Oreochromis niloticus: one gene and its partner. The protein of the gene in region 1 interacts with the protein of each later gene in a biochemical or structural test. Links are inferred from orthologs where the notes say so. Each region holds a gene or a part of one and is shown in the gene's direction. Other genes may lie near its edges.

Evidence for each region.
Region 2: the proteins of tfap2a (region 1) and kctd15b form a complex in vitro, tested with the Homo sapiens proteins (2 studies listed by BioGRID, with this or other methods). The link is inferred for Oreochromis niloticus from reciprocal best matches to the Homo sapiens genes TFAP2A and KCTD15.

Annotation. Positions count from the first base shown.
Region 1 is NC_031974.2:23,416,439-23,428,399, forward strand, and holds the start of tfap2a (transcription factor AP-2-alpha), read left to right. Parts: upstream 1-6,713; 5' UTR 6,714-7,143; coding exon 7,144-7,257; intron 7,258-7,265; exon of another isoform or gene 7,266-8,133; coding exon of another isoform or gene 8,134-8,160; intron 8,161-8,688; coding exon 8,689-9,108; intron 9,109-10,312; coding exon 10,313-10,364; intron 10,365-11,961. Other genes in the region: tmem14ca (transmembrane protein 14C), read right to left, coding at 116-217, 347-431, 541-630.
Region 2 is NC_031965.2:31,956,596-31,968,117, reverse strand, and holds the start of kctd15b (BTB/POZ domain-containing protein kctd15), read left to right. Parts: upstream 1-6,377; 5' UTR 6,378-6,693; coding exon 6,694-6,705; intron 6,706-9,065; coding exon 9,066-9,241; intron 9,242-11,522. UniProt on the Homo sapiens protein: During embryonic development, it is involved in neural crest formation. Inhibits AP2 transcriptional activity by interaction with its activation domain.

The DNA of each region.
Region 1 (11,961 bases):
CAGTCAAGACTGCGGCTTGAATGGCACAGCAGTGTTCAAACTTTACAGCTTTTTCTGACATGATGTTTTTCCTAAGCTGAGGAAAGAGGAAAGAAAAAAAAAAAAGTTTACTAACCTAGTGACACCCAAACATTTTTAGGATCATTTGAGACCTGGTAAGCTCCAAAACCTGCAAGGCCCCCAAACAGAAGCCCAGCAGCCAGGGAGGGAACACTGCCTGACAGAACAAACATACAGGAGGTCAGAACCTAGGAAAATATAAACCAGCGAGACAACAGCACCAATAGTAATACTTGCTGTTATTGAAATGTGATTATTTAACTTAAGTATTTTAGGTAACACATACCTGCTTTCACGTAACCAATGACTCCTCCAGATGCTACAAGCGTGGCGTATCCATATCCTACCCAATCCACAGTCATGTTGGACACCTGTCAGGATCACAGCGTGAGGTTATGCGAGTCAACAAACACATTATTGACGTTGCACATCGATTATTCAATTAAAACCTCCTCCTGATGTGAATCTAATTTGACCTACTGGTGTAAAAATACTTAAGGAGCTGTGCGAGTCCTGCAACACAGAGCTGTTACTGAGCATTAACGGAACGAACAGAAAAAGTGAAAACATTGTAGGAAGGTTCCCGCTGTCACACACCGCAGCCGTAGTTTGTCAGCTTTTGATCAGAAGTCGTTAAAGAAAAAAGGGGCGTGTGTGTGTCTGGCTTAGTAGATAAGCCAGACTGCTTTACTGAGCCTTAGCATAAACTAGCATCACTGCTGCACCACACACTCAGAAGTTACACAACATTATCGAAACCACTGTTAACAGTCACCCCGTAAACTTTGAAAGTAGATTCAGTCTTAAGCAGCACTCTAAAACATTGACACTGTCGAGTATGGAAGCTGAATTAAAAAAAACAAACCGACTTACAACCTTAGTCGTTCAGTTTGTCCTCTGTCTGTCACTGACATAAACAGTGTGGTCCCTACCGACGGCAGCTTGTTCTCCACCGAGCACAATTTATTGCTGCACTGTACGTAATGCGCTCGCGGATGCCGAATGCGTAGGCTTACAGTTCTGAGCAGATCTCTTTATGTTGTGAAAGACATACGGCTGCGCTAAATAATAATAATAATAATGATAATAACGATAATAATAATAATAATACTAATGTGTTTTTTATCGTTTATGTTGGTGCAAACAAACACGACCGAGGACACTTAAAAGGTATTAAACTATTTTCTCTGCGGAATCACTACTGACGATTTATTGTCCTGTACTCTCCATAATAAACCGAGTCCTGCTTACTTAACGTCGTCGTATGATGTCATTGTCAACCACTAATGCGCTCAATTGAGTAACCCCAACGCCACTCGGAGCTGTTTTTTGATAATTGACGGCCGCTAGATGGCGCCACAGGATTATATTAGGTTGTGTTTCAAGTTCAAACCGCACCCCTCATACCAATAGCTTTTTTTCAAATAGGCATGTACTTTGATTTGCATGCATCCGAAAAAAAGGCTGTCTTCAAAGGGAAAGGATAAACATACAGATTGCAATATCACCACTTACGACATCGGAATGTTTTTATTATCGTTATTACTTTTTCTTCTTCTGATGGGTGACTAAAACGATCAAGTTTAAGCGTGACAGACTGATTAAGGTTAATGAAGAAAGGCAGGTGAACACAAGCGCCCAGCGTATTGCTTGTTAGAAATGCATTTGTAATATTTGCAAACGTTTGTATTCCTGACGGGTCGTGCAATTTCATGTAGACTTTCCTTTAAAGCACCTGTGTTTCCGACTGGCATCGGCTCTGCAGATTTACTTACTGGAATGCTCCCTGCTCACACATTCTCATTTGGTTTCAATTACCTGCGATATTGACTTCAATCCACTAGCGGCGCTTCCTCGCTCTTATCCAAAAGCAAGGTGGCGCTATAACACAAGTTATCTTGTTCAGAGAGCAGCGTTTCTAACGTTGGGCCTGAAACCGTCTCAATTGAAAAATATAAATAGATAAATAAATCACGAATTTTTATGAATATAACCAAGGTGCGTGTGGCTTTGGAGATCTTCGCCAGTAGGACACATCCAGCAGGAGCTAGAGCGTGGCCGTGGGAAAATAATATTTGTTGCAAACTCAGCATTTCTACGAAATGATTTACCAACTTCATAACTTCATAACGTTTGGGGGATACGAAAAAGTGCTCCTGTCTTTGATCAGCCTTTTTTAAAGAAGAAGAAGACGAAGAAGAAGGAGGAAGTCTTTCTGCCATTTCTAGCAATGAGAGAAGGACGCGTAAAATACGCACCAAGATCTGTCTGTCTTTAGGTACACTTGATAATAACAATAATGATTATAGCAATACGACTACTGCTACTACTACTACTATTACTAAAACTAATAATAATAATAATAATGATAATAATAAAATGTACAAGATGCCTGAGGCGCAGTCGTGGCTATCGCCTTTTAAACACAGCTGGCGGTTGGGGAACATTGCCGGAGGCCCGGTGCTGTGTGCTGCTGGTTGAAACTAAGCCCTAGACCGGCTAGATATTCAAAAGGGACCCCGCTGCAGAACAAGAGTAACCTACTCTCAGACAGCTCTGCTTTAAAACTTCACTCCTCCCTTGCGCAGAGCCCCAAACAATATTTCTGATTCCCCCTCCCCACCTTCCTCTCCTTTGTCCAGGCCTGGTAAGGTCTATATAGCTGCAGGTATTGTGTGTGCAGTTAAAATGTGTTCGCCTTTGAAGTCAAACATGAAGGCTCGTTTAAAATATTAACGCCACAAAAATCTATAGTCTCCGTGTGGAATTTTGCAATTTAGAAAAATACCAAAAAACAAAAATCGGGTTAAAGCAAAATTAATTGTATTTTTTCTTCCCCCCGTTAAAAGTTTGTCCACAAGCACCAGTGTTACACTTCACGCATATAACACGCTGTCTTTATGTGTGTGATATAGTGAAAGGTAGGTCAATGCTGCTATCTGCCAGCGAAGTGCCCCCGCGACTACGTCCATAGCAGCCAGTTTGCCTACGTGTGTGTGTGAAGCGTATTACTTCAAAGAGGAGAAGGGGTTACGGACAAAAGATTTGGCCATTGTCACCCACGTCAGCGCACGTGTTGCTCTGCTTTCTGTGTGCGTGTGTGCGCGTCTCTCATGTGTGCGTGTGTACCAGGGGGAGGGGGAGGGAGGGAGGAGGCGGTTGGGGGGTTGTGGGGGGTTGCTCATTCGCTCTTGGCCCGAGGGGTCTACATAAGTATGTATTAGAAATAAACAGTGGATAAATAAATAATGACTCTCACAATAGTATGGTAGCTTTCTGTGTAATGATGTTGGCAGTTAACCTTCAAGTTTTTTAACTTGACACAGTTTCATTTGCACTGACAATTCATGTTTTCTACTAAGCAAGACAAATCAGAGAAGAAAAGGAACGGAAAGGTTAACAGATATGTCCTTTTTAGTTTTATGCCAGGTGAAGACAAATATAACCTTTATAATTATATATATTTATATTCGCTTTGTCCCACGCAGTTTCCCGTATTTTCTCATATGGAACCTTTATTACTATTATTATTATTATTATTTTAAAAAGCACATCTTAGATTATCACACTGTTTATGCGCACAATAAACCAAATTAATATTTGATGAAAAATCATATAAAATCCTCTTTTTTTTTGTCAAAACATGAAATGGACATTTTCCTTTAAACTGATCTTAAAAAAAATATTATTACAGATGTATGTATTTGTTGGGGTGTGTTGTGTCTGCATCAATCACGTTAAATAGCCTAAATAATATCCATACTTTCAGCTCGTCACTTGTGAACGCTGTTGTTTAAAAAACTAATTAAGTATGACAGCTCAGACCTATTCAACACACAGACACAGACAAGCTGTTTCTTTTTTTCTTCCCAGGTGCTCGCCACTCTCTGGTCCACACCCGTAGCAGTGCGCATGCGTCGCCAGGTGGCTCCGCACCGTTTTTATGGCCAGGTGAAGCGATTCCGGCCCAGGTAAAGGTTTACTTTTGCGAACGAAGGCTTAATGAAATAGACGCGCCGTCGGATCGGACCAAAACAAACAAAAGGAAGCAGAGGATAAAGAATGTCAATTATGGGCAAAATGATGGAATGGCAGGTATGTGTTGTTTACCTTAAGAGAAAGAAAACGGCTGCAAAAAGGGGGAAAAATACATAAAAACAGTCAAAGTATCGACTTGTTGGATGAGGCTGCATGGACGCTATGAAATCCTGTAGTAAAGAGAGGCGGCAGAGTTCTGTAGAGGCTCCTGGATTTGATCACACAGGAGATATTTTGGAGTCTTTTGCGGGGAGGTATAGCCTGAAGTGTGGAATTAACCATATTTTTTTTGTTGTTGTTGTTGTTGTTGTTTTTTAGTTCTGAATGTCTGAAGGTATGGATCGTTTGTTGCAAGGACATCGTGCGCGTTTCAGACACACTGTGATATCCACATTTGTTTCATCATAAGTTAGACGTGTATGGAAACAGACTTGAGGTGCTTTGTTAGAGGTGGGGCGATTACAAAACACAGCCCGTGCTCGAACCGTGTAGTTAGGCTTTAAAGCAGAAAAAACAAAAACAAAGAATAACAATGATAAACTTTTCATGTGCTTTGCAGCTGTTCCAATTGTGCATGGCGTGAGCATCTCACAGTGGACTTTCTGTAGAGTCTAATTTTTAAAAAATGATCTGGGCTTGACTCAGAAGTATGGCCTCGGCTTGTGGATGCGTTGGGGATTTAAGAGACGACCTGAGATCTTTGGTGGAAGAGAAACACTCCCGTTTCAGGCGAGCAGGCCAGGTCTCTTTTGCAGCACGCACGGATGCATTGCTGTCGTTGACAGCCGCTCCACGTTCATTAATAACAACTGTTTGTTACAAAAAAAAAAAAAGAAGGGAGGGGGGGTTGTCTCTGTCCCACCAAAAATACCAAACAGGCTTTTAAAAGGGGGACAACGCCTTAAAGCGCCGTGGACCTGTCTGCTGACCCACGACCTGGTGAGGTGAAGGCTCGACCGGCGACAGGACAGAGCCAGGCTCCCCCAGCCGCTCATTCAAATGAAACAAGGCCATGTTGTTGTGTTAATTATTGACACCAACCCCCCCTCCCTCCTCGACTCCCTCACAAGCCCTGCCAACCTTACAGGTAGCCAGTGGACCTGTAGAGCAGCTTTGAATAACTCACCCTTTTTAACATCACACTGAAAGAATAGCCTCTCGAGGTCTCCGCTCTCAATAGGATTAAAATAACACTTTGGGATTTTTTTATTTTTTTTTTTGTAGAAAAAAAAAAATCAAGGTTGGCCCCACGGTGTGTGTGACGGGGTGGTAGCATAGTCATGCTGTCTTTACATCAAATTTAAAGTCATCAAGAGGTGGATAGAAGTAAGTTCAGTTTAGACAAAAAAAAAGTCACAGAAAAATATATTTGACAATTTGTTAAAAATATACAATTTCTGGGGGATTCTTTAGGATGTGCACTTTTCCATCCTCCCAAATATGAAATCAAAATGATTGTAGAAAGTGTCCCAGGTGCGAGCAGGTCCCCATGCATGACCGTACCCTCCCTTCCTCTCAATAAAAAAAACACACACACACACACACCTCATTGAACAGTAGAAATAATAACCGTGTGTAGCGTCTTGTTGCTTTTTTAGTCTTTACCTGTAATGCTGTCCATTGGTGTTGTGTGAGCAGATGGGGGGAATCAAACGGCTGTTGATATGCTAATGAGGCCCGGTGCCAGTGTTATTACAGAGCTGATCCAGCCCTTCACTTCCACCATTAGAGGGAGACCTCAGAGCGCAAGACAGACAACCAACCCACAGCTTCAATAAAAGTAGTTTTTCTGAGCGGGGAGCACAATTCACTGAGTGAAAACAAGACTAAGGCGATACCTATACTCAATATCCACCTCAACAACCCATGAAAATGCTCTGGAAATTAACTGATAACATTAAATATGAAGACTGCGAGGTAAGAGGCTCGTTTTTAATTTACTAAATTTGTTGTTGTTATATTATTATTATTTTTAAACATTCAATAATTATTTCATGGCTGCTTTTTAAAATTGTTTTGATCCAGCTATGAGATTCTTTTGACAGCTGTTAGAGAACATATTTAACTGCAAGATGAATAGACTGCATATTATGGCTTTTGTTAATTAATGTAATAATAATAACAATAATAATAATAATAATAATAATAATAATAATAATAATAATAATAATGATAATAGGAAGCTGTTTTTAATATCGCCTGGCTGCATAAAAATCACAGCATTTTCCACTTTAAAACTTACATTAAAAATAAAATAAATATGACTAAAAATTCTATTGCACGTGAAAACATTAAAGCAATAATATACACTTACCATGCATTAAATTAAAAAATAATATTTTAAAGCAGTGTGAGTGCTGGCACTGCCTGGTTCATTTTGCGCTTCAGTTACAAGCTCTTGGACTCTTCAGGTTTTTCTATCACTGCAGAAGCTGTTAAATTCTGCGTGTGCGTGTATGTGTGAAGTGCATACACTGAGTGATTGTTGTTGTTGTTGTGGACACAGACGAAGTTTGGCAGTAATACCGGTGGCTTGTTTAAGGAGTGGAGAAGCCAGTCGGACGTGTTTTCGCCCGCGTCCTGTGAGAATAGAGAAGGACGGGAGCAAGAAAGCAAAAAAAAAAAAAACAGAAAGAAAGAAAGTGGCACCTCCGCGGTCGTGTTAAATGGATTCTTTTAATTTACAGGCAAACGGTTTGTTTCATCCGCTGGTATCGAGGCAAAAAAAGAAATACATAAACAGATAAATAACATTTGCAGTCGCGATCCAGCCGAGGCCCCAGTAAGTGATGTTTCGTAATTTTAAAGTGCATGATTAGGCAGGAAGGGGAGTGGAGCTATTTCAAGCCGCGCGCAAAAGTTACAGAGCGCAGGATCCAGCGGCCCTGTCTCACACTGTGGGAATTTTATTTTGTTCCATCTTTCCGGGTCAACGTTAAAGTTAAAGCCGGCGTGACTCTGGGTTTTTTGGAGTCGAGGACGGATCGGTGGATTAATTCGGCGGAGACAGGAGAGGCAGAGAGAGAGAGAGAGTGAGAGAGAACCATGGAGGACAGCTCGCTGTCGGAGTCTGAGGTGGAAAACAAAGGGACAAACGGTAGAAATGAGCCGGCTGGAATGCCCATAGCGTCGTCTGCTGGATTTTCACCCAGTTCAGAGGTGCACATTGTTTCCTTCGCTGGCTTCTTCATTCCTGCCTGTGGTCCACCTCCCTTCCCATTCCTGTCTTTCTTTCACTTTTGCGCTTTGGCCTGGGACTCTTTTAAAATGCCCCCCTCCTCCTCCTCCCTCTCTCTCTGATTCGTCAGACGAGGTGAATGTCCCTCTTTTTGTGTGTGCCTCTCTCCGCACACTCTCTCACTCCCTCTTTCTCTCTCACTCCCCCTCTCTCTCTCTCTCTCTCTCCCCATCTCTGATTAGATATACTGATTCCTCCTTTCAATGGACGTCATTTAAGCGCAGACTCCTGCCTTGAGTTGCGTCCTCCGCTTCACGCCAGATTTCCGTCTATTCTTTCCTTGTTATTAAGTATTCCTGTGATATTAATTGTAATGAATGCGTTCTGGTAGGAGTCCGAGAGGGAGACGAAGAAGCGGCTCTTTTTTTTGGGCTAATATGAGCTCGAGCGAAGGGACGGTAGCACTGTGATAGAAGCCCGGAGAACAGGGGGGAAAAGAGGGTTTACCAAGAGAAACTTTTCAACCTCGATCGGCCAGCACCGCCGAATATCTGCATTGTTAGAAGCAAATGAAGGGCAGCTGGGATCTAACCATTTATTTCTGATGGATTATCGTCCTGCTACCGAGGCACATATCTGATCGCCGGGGCCATCGTGATCTTTGCAGGAGAGAAGAGTCTTTTCGGGGGCCTTGTTCTTTTTTTTTCTTTTTTCCTTTTTGGGTTTTGCTGGTTTATTCCTTTTGCTCTTCTCCCCCGCCCCCGCCCCCCCCCCCTAAAGACTCCGTGTTTTTGTGAACTGATTATTATATTAATAATTTTTTATTATTATTGAGTCCCCACCAAAAATCCTTACAGATGTTAGTGCACAGTTTTTCCGCGATGGTAAGTTGCTGGAGTCTCCCACTATCAGATACTTTCTTTCTTTGCTTCTTTGCCTACCAGATTTTTTTCTTTTCTTTTTTTTTTTTACTTCAAGTTTTTTGCAAAGCGTGCATGCTTAAAAAATCAGCTGAGCATCCTGCAAATAAAAATAAAAAAAAAAATGTCAGGACTTTCCTATTTAATGCCGTTTCATTCTCTGGATTTTTTTTAAATTATTTATTTTGCTCATGTACTGTCAGGTTATTTTGGATTCCCAAAACTTTGCGGATGTGTTGTAGGTGTTATTGTTTTTTTGTTGTTTAAAAAAAATCCCTTTCCCCAATTAACTGGAATAATTCAACACAGATTCCACACTTGAGCTAATTCGTGTCATCCACTCAGGGGCATATTTGATAATGCCCGCAGAGCATTCACATGTAAAAATATAGACGGACGTTTCGCTAATTTATGACCGTGTCCTTTATTTTGATTTTTATTTTGAACGTATTCAGGCTAAAACGCACTTTTCCTTCTTTCCTTACCTGTCAGGATCGTCACGACGGCACCAGCAATGGGACAGCCAGGCTACCTCAGCTGGGCAGCGTGGGCCAGAGTCCCTACACGAGCGCCCCTCCGCTCTCCCACACACCGAACTCGGACTTCCAGCCCCCGTACTTTCCTCCACCCTACCAGCCCATCTACCCGCAGTCTCAGGACCCTTACTCGCACGTCAACGACCCATACTCCCTCAACTCCCTGCACGCCCAACCGCAGCCACAGCACCCGGGCTGGCCGGGCCAGAGGCAGGGTCAGGAGAGCGGCCTGCTGCATCAGCACCGCGGCCTGCCCCACCAGTTGTGCCGGGAGTATCGCAGGGAAGTGCTCCTGCCATCCGGCCACGGCATCGAAACGGGACTGTCGGACTCTATCCCTATCCATGGAATACACCAATCTTTAGAAGACGTGCAGGTGAGGCAGCGTTTACCTGGCTTTCTCTTTCTGTGGAATTACTCCCTTTAAGAAATGAAAATAGAAAGAAAAAAAATGAAAGAAAGAAAAGGAATAATGCTGTCATTAAGAGTTCGAGCACCACGGGTGCCAACCCGCTATTATCAGTGAGAGTTTGTGTGTGTGTGTTTTATTTAAATAAATAATGAAAATTGTTCTGTCACCCCGCCTTTAAGAAATCAGGTACTAGTCATAGAAGTGCTGTAACTGTATCATGTTTATCTTATTAATATTAGCTGATACAAAACACGACTGACACGCAGTAAATTAGGTTCGGGGAGCTCATTGTAGCTCTTAAAATAGCAAATATACTAAATAATAAATGCATGGATTTTTTTTTCCCAGTATCTTCAATGCGGTTTAAGACAAAGCAGCACTGATTTGCAATTTATTTCTGTCATGAAATATATTTAAAAGAAAACATTTATAATGCTGTTCGTTGACACATGGCTTTTGTTCGACATCTGAAACTAAAAAGGCATGAAATAGATGAAAATAACTGATATCTCTATTTTCACGAGTAATTTTTTTTTTGTCGTTTGATTTTAATTTAATTTCGCTGTTTTAAAAAAATAAAATAAATGAAGCCGACGCTTATTTGAGAACAATAACACGAGAGTATACTGCTTCCCGATAACGAGAGAATTTTACTTTGCTGCACGGAGCTCAGGCAGACGTTTTATTGAAGATCTGTGATGGACGAGCTTTTAAAATTGTCAATAAACTCCATTCATATTGAGAACATTACAAAAAAATCAGAAACAAACACCAATAATTCGCTAATTAGTTCATAGGCCTTTAATAGGCAGCGCCGCCATAATTACTATCCAATCTAGATTAGAAGTTTCCTTGTGAGTACAGCCAATCTGAGGGCGAAATTAGGTCAGGATTATGGGGCGACACAGCTTCGTTATTTAAGTCTGCGTTTGTCATCTAATCAGTGTAACCGGTCGAAAACACACATGGACAATAATAACAGGTATGGGGCCTCGGGAGCCTCCATGTTGGGTGATTGTGGCTGCTAATTGTGTCAGGCTTTGTTCCTGCACCGCATCCTGAGGTGCGTTTACGTACGCAGGACCGAGGTTGACATTATTAGATTTTTCCTTCTCTTTCCTGCCTTTGTACTTAAACGTATACCTTTTTTTTTGCATTTGTGTCATAGCCTGTTGAGGATCAAGGAATTCACATCCCCGACCAGACTGTAATTAAAAAAGGTAAGCAATTTCCTCCGAGATACAGTACCATGCATGTTTCTTCAAGCTGCACACCACTAAGCAACACACACACACTCGCATACACGCACACGCACAAACGCCATTCACTATTCTGCTCGAGAGAGCTCGATGCAATGCGGTAATGCCTGACTGATCCTAATACGCAGTAGCCTATTTTTCATTACATGGTTTCCAAGTGCGTCAAACTGGCTGCACCTTTTTTTCCCCCCTCGCTGATGGAATTTACTGTCAGCGTTTCAGCGCAGCGGGGAGATGAGTAGAGCTGGTGGGCTTTGTAGGCCCGCGTGCTATTGATGGTCAAAGATACAGGCCTCATAGACGATCCTGGCACTTCAGGAAGCCAATAGCTGCAATCACGTAGCGTGGTCAAATCTAAAATGGGAGTTGGTACCGCTGGATGGAGCACAGGCCTGCTGTGTGTAGGATGATAGTCTGTCATTCAGTGAGGGGAATCAAAAACTAGGCTTGGGGAAAAAAATCACTTGGCTGGATTTTTAATATCGTGAAATGTAATTGTTTAAATATATATTTAGGCTACTTTGGTGAAGGTTGTTGGATTGTGCTGTTGCTGCTGCTTCAGTCCGTCGTGTTTATTTGCTGTTAAAATTCAGTGAATTGTATTACTTGATACAACACGAGGAAGTCCCATTCTTTTCGTGGCCATGTTTTAAAAACGTTTTGTCAGGTCAAATTAGAACTCGCTGGATAAGATACGGAGTGATTTTGCTTCCCCATTTCTTCCCTTCCTTTTTTCGGTTTTTACTTCTTTCTTTCTTTTTTATCTTTTTAAACATTCTTTCTTTTTTAGTCTGTCTATCTGCACATCAACATGATAATTGGCTTCTTATATTAGTAATCTCAAGAGTTCGTTTAACTCCTATTGTCTCTATTAGGCTCCCTTGAGCCATTAATGTCACAAGTGATCTATCCAAAGGCGCACAGTCCCCTTTGTCTCCGGTTACTGCACACCAAAACGGTGTAAAGCCCAGCACTGCTGAGCCCCCCCTCCACATACACACACACACACACACACATCCTTAACCCACTACCCCCCCCCCCCCAGTGTGAAATCACACACGGGGTACGGTGTTTTGCTGGATACCCAGGATATGTCAGAATAGGTAGACTTTACAGAATCTCTCGGTTGGTATGGTTGCTTTGTGCGGAGATGCTGTTTAGGGCGCACACATCCTTTTATTTTTCATTGTCTGCTGCATAGTTGTCTACATAACGTCATTGGCTGGTGTTTTTTAAAGTAATAATAATAATAAAAATAATAATAAAACAAAAGAGCACAGACGAGCGGAAGTATACTGGCTTTCAGGCAGGTATATTTGAACGGAAATCAGGCCTCATAGTGCTGATTTTACTGATTCTGCAATATATTATTATTATTATTGTTATTATTCGCCAGTCTTACCGAACATGTACACATGTTGTGCTAAACTCCAATTTCGGGGCCTAACCCCCCAACCCCTTCTCATTTAGTTAAGGCTCTGCATTGCATGAAATTCACTGAGCACGGTCTCTCTCTCTCTCTCTGTCTCACCCCGCAATCCCTCCCTCCTTCCTTCTC
Region 2 (11,522 bases), on another chromosome or scaffold:
CATAAGTCAAGGCTGTGGGTTGATGCCATCATGACACATGCACTCTAATGAGGACTGTGGGTGCTCTGCAATGCCAGGGACTTCCCCCAAGGCACATTGAGCAGGGGGAATGCTATGTGATGCATACCAGATGTGATTGGAGACATCACACTGTTCACGTTGTTACTGCTAACCAAATAGTAGCAGCAACAAAAGCAAAAGATCATTTTTCCTCTGTTTACACATTCAAGGCATGAGGCTGGATGCTTGTAAGACTGGTTTGAGCCAGAAGCAGAATAACACATTTCAGAGGATTTTGTTTTTTCCCAAAGAACTTCAGAGAGGACTGCACATAGAAATGAAAATTTGGTGACGGATACAAGAGATGACATAAAACAAAGTTACATTATCACCTCTTCTCCTCTGACAAAACAGAGAAAATGTCTAATTTCTTGGCATTTTGGCAAAGTTTCATAAACATTCTCATGTTCTAATTTCATCCTGTACTCACGAATGCCTCTATTACCTGATGACCTCCTTCACAGGTACTTTTTCATCAGTTTGTAAATATTTAGAGCTTTAGACCACATGATGGCAGCAGATTTTGAGATTTTAGACAATTCTTAAAATGTGGAAAATACATTTTCTGCTTCATTAAAATGTCAGATTTCTTTTTTAATTTATCTGATCTATAACACGCCAGAATGAGAGGAGGATATTTTCTTTGCACAAAGAAAAAAAAATAAAAATAAAAATACAGGTAATATAATATATGAAATTATCACAATACTGTATTTTTATAATCGATTTATTGGTCTATATGGGAAATTGCCTTTTTTCTGAAATATTTTTATTTTAAAAGTATCCAGTTGCTAAAGATGTCAAAAAAGGGGGTAGAATATGTAAGATTTTCCATTTTTTAGTGAAGTAATATTAAGTACCATGATGGCATCAAAGAACACTGCCTTTTTCAAGGTTCAGAGTCTAGCATGTTTGGGGTATTCTGCAGGCTTCCAATTGGCTAATATTTAGTAAATGTCTCAACCAATCACATTAAGATTCTGAATAAACAAAGACTGAACTTGACAGCATCAGAGTCATTGCAGTTTTACCTGTAAAAGTGGAACTGTCTCATAACAGCAACTCTCAGAAGTACACAGAGTGTACACACTCTCCTTGTGCTCAGCTTTTTCTGAAACTTAATTGCTGGCATTAAGCACTTGAGGGAATTCTGAGCTGTGCTTGTTAGGTGTTTGTGAGCAACACAACTCCATACGTTCTATTAATAAACTGACACCTTTTTACCTTCTCTCCCTCCCTCTCTCTCTCTCTCCCTCTCTCTCTCTCTCTCTCTCTCTCTCTCTCTCTCTCTCTCTCTCGCTGAAATAATGAACAATAAGTGTCGCTGCTGCACCTCAGACACACACCAACATCAAGCAGAATGTCAAATGGCTGTAAGAACGGAGCGATTGACAGCAACCGGGCTCCACAAGGCATGCAGATTACTAAAAGCAAGTTCTGAGCGTTCTTTTCAAACTTTCTCCACACGCCAGAGGGGCAAGTAGAAGTGGAATGCTTGAAAGAGATTCTTGCAAATGCTCACATTTAGAAGGGCGGATGTGACTGTATTGTGCCTACTGTTTTCACCTTTGTGCACATGTAGTACAGTTGTGTGGGTGACCTGGGTTATGTGGATCAAAAAAAGGACATGTTGGCCAAATGCCCTAAAGGCTTTAATTGAAAAGTAAGAATAAAAAAAGAGAGAATAAATATTAAAAAATAAACCAAATGGAAAGACTATAATATAAAAGCCTATTTTAAACATTTAATGAAATAATAAGTAGTACAGCATATGGCTTCAAAATGACTGGTAAATGTGTGTTTTATCATTACCCATCACCCTTGTTCATTAATACCAACTTTACTGATTAATTATTATTGATGATTACTGACTGTCAGATTCCACCATATATAGAAACAATATTACACCTGGTCCAAAAATTATAATGTACATTTTTATGCAGACGGCACTGTGTTATGCCACTGGCTCTTCCCTTGAAGCGCATGCGATCATCGAAATGTATCAGTGAACAGTTCATTAGCCCTTTTGAAACACCAATCAAGAAAATGATATTTATATTTCTTATGGTGATATTGTTTATATTGATGTTTCTTCATCCACCTTGAAGCATCTTGATTCTTGCATCACAGTGCATTGTAATTTACCAATGATAAATTGATGTAGGCCTTTCTTACTCTTCTATGAAGAAGTAGGATGGTCAACCTTAGGAAACAGAAAAAAGTGGCAGTGTGTGGTGTTTATTTACAAAGCTCTACTGTGGAATTGCTCGGTTACATGCAATTTCAGGTCACAGAATGTGCTAACATTACCTGTTATTCACAGTGAACCTGGAAAAACTATTTTTCATTACGTCTGTGATGGTTCTCAGTCATCCAGGTCATCGTAGTCTAAGGAGCTTGGAAAGAAAAGCCTCTGGACTTCTGTAAGTTTCCTTGAAGATGTTTCACCTCTCATCCGAGGAGCTTCTGTAGAAACTTCTTGGATGAGAGGTGAAACGTCTTCAAGGAATTTTTTCATTACTTTGCTACCTACAAATGGATTGAGCTACAGAAGACTATGAAGCTTCATTCTCTGGCTTTATTTGAACATTTTTCAAAGGTAAAATTTATGTTTATGCAAAAACTAGAGGTGGCTGGATAGACCCAGATATTGAAAGTATTAATACCAACACTGGCATTGGTATTGAATTGATACTGACAAGTTAGGATAGATACTTTATTTGTTTATTGCCCGCTGAATTCTGTTTATTTATTTGTTTTTACCTCAAACATGCACTATGAAAAATGTCTGAACTTTAAATCAAAGTTATATGTCAAATAGGAGCTATAAATCAAATAGATGTGTTCCAGTCACATCTGTTTGATTTGTAGCTTATAGCACATTTGAACAACAGAAGATGATCCAAAGTGATTTAGTGACGGGCACATTTACATTCCAGGTATCCAAAAAACCCAGCTTTAAAATCCATAAAAGGTGAAAGTTGTGTTCTGTGTTAAATAAGTATTGGGGAAAGTAAAAAATCAATTTGAATTAGTGGTCATTCAAGCGTGTTCTGAATTTGCAAATTGATGATTCATCTTATGAATCATGACACGTGGCTCTCCCCTTGATAAGCTGCCTTTATAGCTTAAAAGTATCAGAATCGGCAATACTGACCCTGTATTTGCTTGATTTTAGATCAATACCAAAATTTGCAAATCCCACAGTAAGATCCCTTGTACATGCTTTTTTTAATCCTCTGAGATCCTCTGACCCCAATGCTAGTATCAAATCCAACCCTATGTTTTTGGGGGGGAGGCTGGATTAAAAGAAAAAAGTTGATGTCATAATTGAATATGTTTTTTATACACAGGTTTCTGTTGAAAACGATGTCTTGATCTCAATGAGACAGCATGTTTAAATAAAGGATTTAATAATAGTTAAGCTCATCAGTATGCAGCAGAGTATTCATTGAAAAGGGTTTTTTGTTCACAGTGTTACACCTAACCAGCAGATGGTGCCATGTTCCATCTTTCATTTGAGTAATAAGTATATCCTCCAGATTAAAAAAAAAAAATACCAGCATGCGCTCATTCATTGGTGTCAGATATCTGACCTGCTTGCAGCAAAAAATAAATGTTAAAAAAAAAAGGTAAGCATGTGTCTGTACCACAAAAAAGAAGGTGGAATAAATTGTTTTTAATAAAAAAAATAGTACAATTTATCCCTCAGAGGCATAAAGCATACAATACACTGTTGATGCTGTGATTAATATATAGTAGAAAAAGCTTTAAAAATCATATATAATCCTCTTGTGATAAAGCTGGAGAAAGGCACAGCATTGTCCTCTGTGCCACTTTAGGCAACATAACTAATAGCACCTTGCATTTGAACCTAGAGGCAAAGTTATTCTTCTCGGGGTCATGCATTAATTCATATACTTCATTAACATATGTCTGAAGGAGACTTTGAAATTTTGACTGATGTATGCAGTTGAACGCTTCACGTTGCAGCATAAACATCTTGACTCAGATTTGAGCAAAAATCTATGTTCATTTTGTAGTTTTACATAAGTAAACATTTAAAATAATGGAGAAATTATGTGGAATAATCCTTTAAAGAAAACTAGAACAGAGCTGTTATCTCTCTCTGTGCCTGCATCAGGGAGACCAAACATCTATAATCCCGTTACCTGGGTCAAATAGTACAATCAGATCTACATTTTTTAACCCTGGAAACGAAGAAAAAAAAATTAATCGTAGGGACAGTTTTTTGGACGGTTAGCAAAATAGAAATGGAAACCTGTCTGTCTTCTCACTTGCTGAGGTGCTGGTCAGGAGGACAGATGTTTAGATTTGGGAAATCTCAAAGCTGCATGCAAATCCTCAAGATGACCTACTTCTTCCCTTCCACATAGACACCGATAAAATCCATAAATTAAGGAAATTAACTGATGGGGCCCGGGGCCACTTTGTAAGCTATTTAAATCTTTAAATTTACAACATCCCTGCATACTTCATGTAATTGAACTAACTCCGGGCTTGTTTCCTTTAATGAGAAAAAAAATCCCGCTTTCCCTCCAGTCTGTACCTCTGGAAGCAACAAATCTGTGCCAGAGGGGAAGAAGGGAGCGCTTGAGGCACGCTGAGGTCTCTCTAATTATAAAGACTTCACTTGCTTCAAGGAGAGGCGCATTCTCACACATCCATCAGCTTGCTGTCAAATATCACCAGCACTTTTTAATTTTATATTTAAATATCCGTTATTTTATGCCGATTTTCTATAAATCTGTCTCTGTCTCTCTCTCTCTCGCTTTGTTATACACACACACACACACACACACACACACACACACACATATATATATATATATATATATATATATATATATATATATATATATATATATATATATAAGATAAGAAAATGTTAGAGTATCATAGTGATATTGCTTTGGAAATCTATGTGCTTAAAAAGAATGTTAATACTATTCGGGATAAACGAGGCTCCAAAATAGTGAGTGAATTGATGTATTTCCTGTGGACCAATAATAAGTTCCTACACTGGTTGGCGCCAAATATCAAGAAACGAATATTACACCCCTCTCACGATTCTGGTACAGAGTAATTACTGGGCTCGATGTTGCATCAATTATTCACAGTTATTTACCCGCAAATAAACAAACATGCAAATAAATAAATAATAGTTTCCTTGGCGTGAGCACCTGCTTGACTCCTTCTTCCCCCTTTTACTTTGTGCTGAAGTGGCGCAACACTTTAGCGCTTCATCACTTGCATTGTGTCTTTCTCTGTTGAAAAATAACAATAATCAGGCACAATCTTATTTTCCAAAAGTCTGGAGGCTGCCTCCTTTCATTGTTGAGTAGAGAGGGGGGTGTTCTGGGCAGATATCTCCATCTAAGCCCTGCGCTATAATTGAAATGGCGCATTTGGCTGCAGGCAGGTTGTGAGGGCGCTTTCTGCAGCAGCATGCATGCATGTCCATAGACGTCATTTGATTTTAATGGCCTGCAGGAAATTTGGCGTTACAACTCCAGACATTAAGGCAAGAGAGAGAGGGAGAGGAATAGAGAGCGGGAACACGGGGGAAAAATCACGGCATGAAAGATATTGGTTCAAGGATATCGCTTCATTTTCAACATATTTTTTCCTGCTGAGACTTTATCAACAAGTTATTGCGTCTTTATTATATGTTGCCTGAGTAAAGGACTATGGCAGCCCGCCCGCTTTAAACTTTAAATTTAGCTTGGAGATGGAGATGGAAATGTAATCCTACTAGCTGGACAGCCTGGGGAACTATTACATCAGACGAAATGACAATGATTAAAATCTGCTTTTTGCTGCTCTAAATCTATTGAGCGACAGACAGTTGCCTGTTAGGTTTCCTACCCCCTCGAAATCACAACTTCACACCGTTAAGGGGATCGGTCTACTTTTTGCCGGAAAAAATAAGATAAGTTATTATATCTATGTAGTCATAATTTCGGGAATAGAGGGTATCACGTTTTCTTCCTTGAGAAAATTGCCTGGGTGAGAGAGTGTAGTTGAGCTAATTGTAGCCTAATCCCTGGCCCAGAGGCGCTTGGGCAGCCCGGAGCAAGATTTTTCTTTTTTAGCTCCGCTCTGTTATTTAGAGAAGGATTATTGGCTTTCTTCTTCTCATAACAAACCACAGGGGCAGTTTCATTTAGGCAAAAAGGCAGACAAGAAGCCGAAATACGAAGCAGGATTCCAATAAGAGCGCACATTTTACGCGTATCCAAATAAGAGCAGAGAAGGGGAAGGAGATCATCTCATCTATGTTCAAGGTAAGGACGCTTCCTGTGCGCTTTGGTACAAAGAAGCTTGGTGAGGACAGGTCGAGCCAGCCTTGCAATTGAGCCTTTAAAGCCACAGAGACTCTTTGCAGTCGATCCTGGCCACAACCTAGCGTCTTTTAAAAGCAGTTTTGTGTGGGATACAGAAAAAATACTTGGCTTTTCCGTGCGGCAGTATAGGTATTGGAACTGGACGGCGGTGTAGTTCGGTGACAAACTCGGGGGCATTTGGAGAAAATATTTGAAAATTTTTGGGGGTTACGCGGACAGCAGCTGGGACTGACCGCCGGCACGGATTTCCTCCGGACTCCCTACAATGTTTGAAACGGTAGGGTGACAATTTAATATTACAGAATCCAATGTTTTTTACGCACAGTGTAGGCTTAGGCTGTACAGTTTTCGGGAAGGACAGTTGAACTGTGCTGGAGAGTCCTGCATAGGGCTACTGCTCGACCAAAGTGTATTTTCTGTCTTTTCTGCCAGACTGTACCCTATAGTTAACACGTGTGTGTTTTATCAATCGGGTCGTGTATTACACGTGTCGGGATTATGCTTTTAATTGTACAGCAGCAATAAGACGCCATGTTGAGCATTTGGTAGATTAAAGGCAGAGCACGGGCTTGTGGTGTTCCTGCGGAGGGAGTGTTGTATCGCACCGTTTCTTTTTCAGAGATTTCTGTGTCCTTTTTCGTGGTTGTTTTAAAGATCAGTCGTCAGGTTTATGTCGCTGTCATTAAGTGTGAGCTCGACAGCAGTATGTCTGAGCAGGGGTCAGCGAAGGGAAGCAGCAAGAAAGCAATTCAAAGCAGGAAAGTTGAGTCTCTGTAGCTGCTGTGATTTTGTGAAGGAATTTATGTGTTGTGTGTCTACGTGTGTCACTCACTGTTTGTGTGTATGTGATAGGGAACAAGGGAGTTGGGAACAACAGAAATCAATGAGAATGTGATCGGGATAGTAAGAAGATTTCTATATTTATTTTCCACATTTGTTCTTCATTGTATATCAGTGTAGGGAATTTATTGCTTAAATGGTGGATAAGTAGGAACGAGGAAGATACCCGCGATGGGACAGACCGATGGGTGTCCGTGTGTGTCTTTGTGTATGTGCCCTAAACTTCTTAAGTCTCTATAAGTTTTTTCTCTGTTCCTGGGTTTTGAAATGTAATCCCGTTTTCTTGTAATCGCATTAAACGAATACGATACTGCTGTGAGGAGGTCTATATATAAAAAAGTCTCCTGTCTCATAGTGTGCCCACTGGCATTTCTCTCAGAGCCGCGGGGATGATCTGGACTTTGGCAAAAGGTCTCCCGTCTATCAGTAATGACAGTGCAACAGCCCATATGTGCAACAGAAAACTGATCAGTTCACATAATTTAGTGAAAGCTGGGATTTTATTATATCAGTCTGTTTAAACACACACATGTGTACTATGAAGCTCCTATTATTGTTTTAGATTTTTCCTCAAATGGAAGGTCTGTATTTCAACCAGAGCCTGTAGGCACGGACTAGTGGTGATAAAGTGGAGAAACGGTGACCTTTATTTTGTGATTATTAAAGAAAATGAACTAAGAACAGTATATCTTTGTTTACTTTTCCTTTAAAAAAAAAATAATAAACTCAGCCACTGTGATGTACAATATGCTTCGTAACAGATAATAGTAACACTGAAATGTGGCCATACTGAGGTTTTGTGGTTCACCTGCCGCTGTTGGCAAACAAATTACGCACCAGTAGGTAGGTTGGATATAAACGCCTCCTCCGCTCCTCCTGAAGCAGTGCGGAATCAAATGACGGCGTATCGAATTGAAAATATTTTGTCAAACATTTCATCAGATAATCTAATTCAGCTCTGCACTGATCTCGGAGTGCTCCGGCGTGCTCCCAGTAAGCCCCAGTCCCAAATATGTGCACCCACAGTCTGTATACAGTAGGCTCTAGTGCCATGTACTTTACTTGTAAGATTATTTTAATGGTTAATCAACGACACTGAGCTACACCAAGTACGGAATAAGATACACAATAGTTTGGCCTGCAAGTAACATGATACTTCTCCTGGTTTCGACTGAAATCTGGTGCGTTTTTGTGCAGTACATGAGGCCCGTGTGCCTCAAACTATCTGCGGACACATGACACTCTTAATCTTTTTGTGTACTGAATGGATGCGTGTGCGTGTTAGAAGAAAAGTTGAAAGCTCCCTCCCCGTCGAGCTTTCCTTACTCTTAGATTGGTGGTTGGTGTGTCTGGGCGCATCACGTCTAACACATAAGGCGACCTTTAATTAGAATATTGCAGCAGCAGTTTATTTTATTCCCCTGGAGGCTGACACCTAGCATTCCTCTCTCTCCCCCCTCACCCTGTCTCCCTCTCCCCCTCTCTTTTTCTATCTGTCTATCTCCTTCTGTCTCTCTCTCTCTCTCTCTCTCTCTCTCTCTCTCTCTCTCTCTCACCCCGATTCTAATAAGCATCCTCCTATCCTCGCCTGCGGTGCTGCATGAAAAGATGCAAACATACTTAATTAGAGCGGTGGCAATAATTTCCAGGCTAAATATGCGACCAGACAGACATGGAAGTGATCTGATACCATTCAGAAAGGATACTATCTACTTCCCTGTTTAGGAGCACTCTGCTGATTTTTTTTATTTCTTCTTTACCTTTATTCCCATGGCTTTTCTCTATACTTGCTTTCAGGAGGGAAGAAGCATGTCAAGGCTGTCTCTGACCCGGTCCCCGGTCTCTCCTCTGGCCGCTCAGGGGATCCCTCTGCCGGCTCAGCTGACCAAGGCGAACGCCCCGGTGCACATTGATGTCGGGGGACACATGTACACTAGCAGCCTGGCAACTCTCACCAAGTACCCAGATTCAAGGTAAGATCAGTCCCTGCCTCTAGCATCACTGCTGATCTTAATGTATTAATTCATAGCTTATCTATTTTTTATTTTTTTAAATCAACTTTAAGAAATATGAGCAAACTAAAGAGTAGTTTAATCTGTCTCTTGCTGCTTTTGTTTAAAATGTGACACAGTTATGCATTTATTCCAGTTTAACTAAATAATGGAAAATGTTTCCTAAATAAATATTCAGTTAGATTTCAGTCACTTTTTATCTTAGTAGCTTTATGTTGCATTTTTCACAGTGAATCGTTTAAAAAATAGATTTGACTGGCGGTTTTGTTAATGAAGTCTAACAGAATCTGAAATGTTAGCAAGTCACATAGCTGACTGGCATTGGGACACCACCAGTTAAACTTTGGGGACAATTTCCCCATATATCTTTTCAAATCATGTGGGGGCATTTCTCTGCTCTTCATTCTTTCAACTTCTTACATTAAAAATGATACATGTGATTGCTTTTTTGTTTGTTTGTTTTAAAGGTGATTATTTCAATCTTCCAATAAATACCTCCGAGGGTTTTATTTTTTATCTCCTTTCACATGGTAGCTGTTATTGAAAATTCAGCTGCTGTGCAGAACCTTACACATGTTTTACTGCTGATGTGAGTAGTAGTGTTTGTGTGAATTCACACCACGCAGAACATTTTCACACTACGCCCCCTTTTCAAAGTCTTTATTTATTTATTTTATTTTATTTTATTTTTCCCGCAGATCAGGGTGCTGTTTGGAATACTAGAAAAAAAATAATGACGTAAGCATCCAGAACCCCCTTAATCAAAGTTGATGTAAAACAGCTTCAAATGTGATTAAAATCATGGCATGTTACAAGTTGTAGGTTTTTTTTGCAACCACCATTTATCATGTGTTGCAGCTTGACCTTATCAATACATTTTAATAAAAAGTTGCATGACTTATCCTTTTATCTTGTGAGCTATTGTTTTCATTATATTTTTTGACGAGTTTAAGCTGCAGCTTGAGCCTAAGAGATGAATGATACCGAAGACAAACTTTGAATTGTTCACCGCAGCAACGACTTTCTGTATATCAGGTACATGTGCATGTGCAAAAAAAGCTCCTCCTGCTCTTTCAGACATCTGATTGTTATAGTTACACATGAAGCATTTGCACTTGTAAGAAAAAAAGCATGATGATTCAGGCTGTGTAAGAGCTGATGGTAATCCACCATCCCACATTTTTATACACATTTTTAGCTCCATCCACAAACAAGGTGCCACTACTAAAGGAAGCAAATTCAAATAATGATAAAATGACTCCGTTTTATGCTGATTTGAATTACCCCTTCCGTATTTTCCTCTAATGCAGTGTGTCATTTATTGCATTATGCTCCCTGCATTTCGGCATCAGCTGAATCCCATGTGGGCCAAGGTAAACATACACCAGGTTGTTAGAAAACCTGCCAAATTGGCTACAGGAAATAATCCGCATAATCCCCTGGTAATAAAGTCTTGATATTCATAGAGTCCGCTGACAGGAAATCCCTGACAACTCTCTTTTTATTCCAGTGCAACATGTCATGAGAAAGATAAAGCTTAAACCAGAAAAGGGTTTATCGTTGTTTGTGTTATTAAGACAATTTTTTTTGTCCACTATTTCAGTGTCATAGTCAGTTTATCCAGTGGACAGATGGTTTTTACATTTCTGTGTCATTTGTATTCGCAATTGTGCATTGCTATTGTGTTCCCGTATTTATTATGCTCTGATGCAGCTTTACACTTTACAAAGAAGTTATTCACTCTGAGATGCACAGGGTCTTTACTCCAAATGCAGCACAGAGTCATGTCAGAGCATCCAAGCAGTGTTTTTACAGTAAAGACCGGATATCAGTGTGAGTGTTGGTTTGGTTGGAGTGCTCTTTCCTCTTTCTTTCTCCTTCTCTTTTTCACACATGCTCCTTTGCTCCTTCCCTCTCTCTCCCTCCCTCTGTCTTGTGCTGTTTCTTTCTCACTCTGGATCACACACAAACACACGCGCACACACGCACATATTCACATGCATACACTCACTGTTTCTCTCTTTCTCCCAGCCTCCTCAGCGTACAGTTGGCCTCAGGGCTCCACTTTCCACTGGAGCCAGTGGAAGGAGGGGCCCTTTTGTGTGAATTAGGATAATGGCTGACAGCAGAAAGCAAAACAATTACACTGGCATAACCGCATATGCTGTGTTCAGCTACGTCCGGTCAAGAAAGGCGCACGGGCAAAACTGAAAACGTGACGACTGAAAGAGCAGGGCTAAAG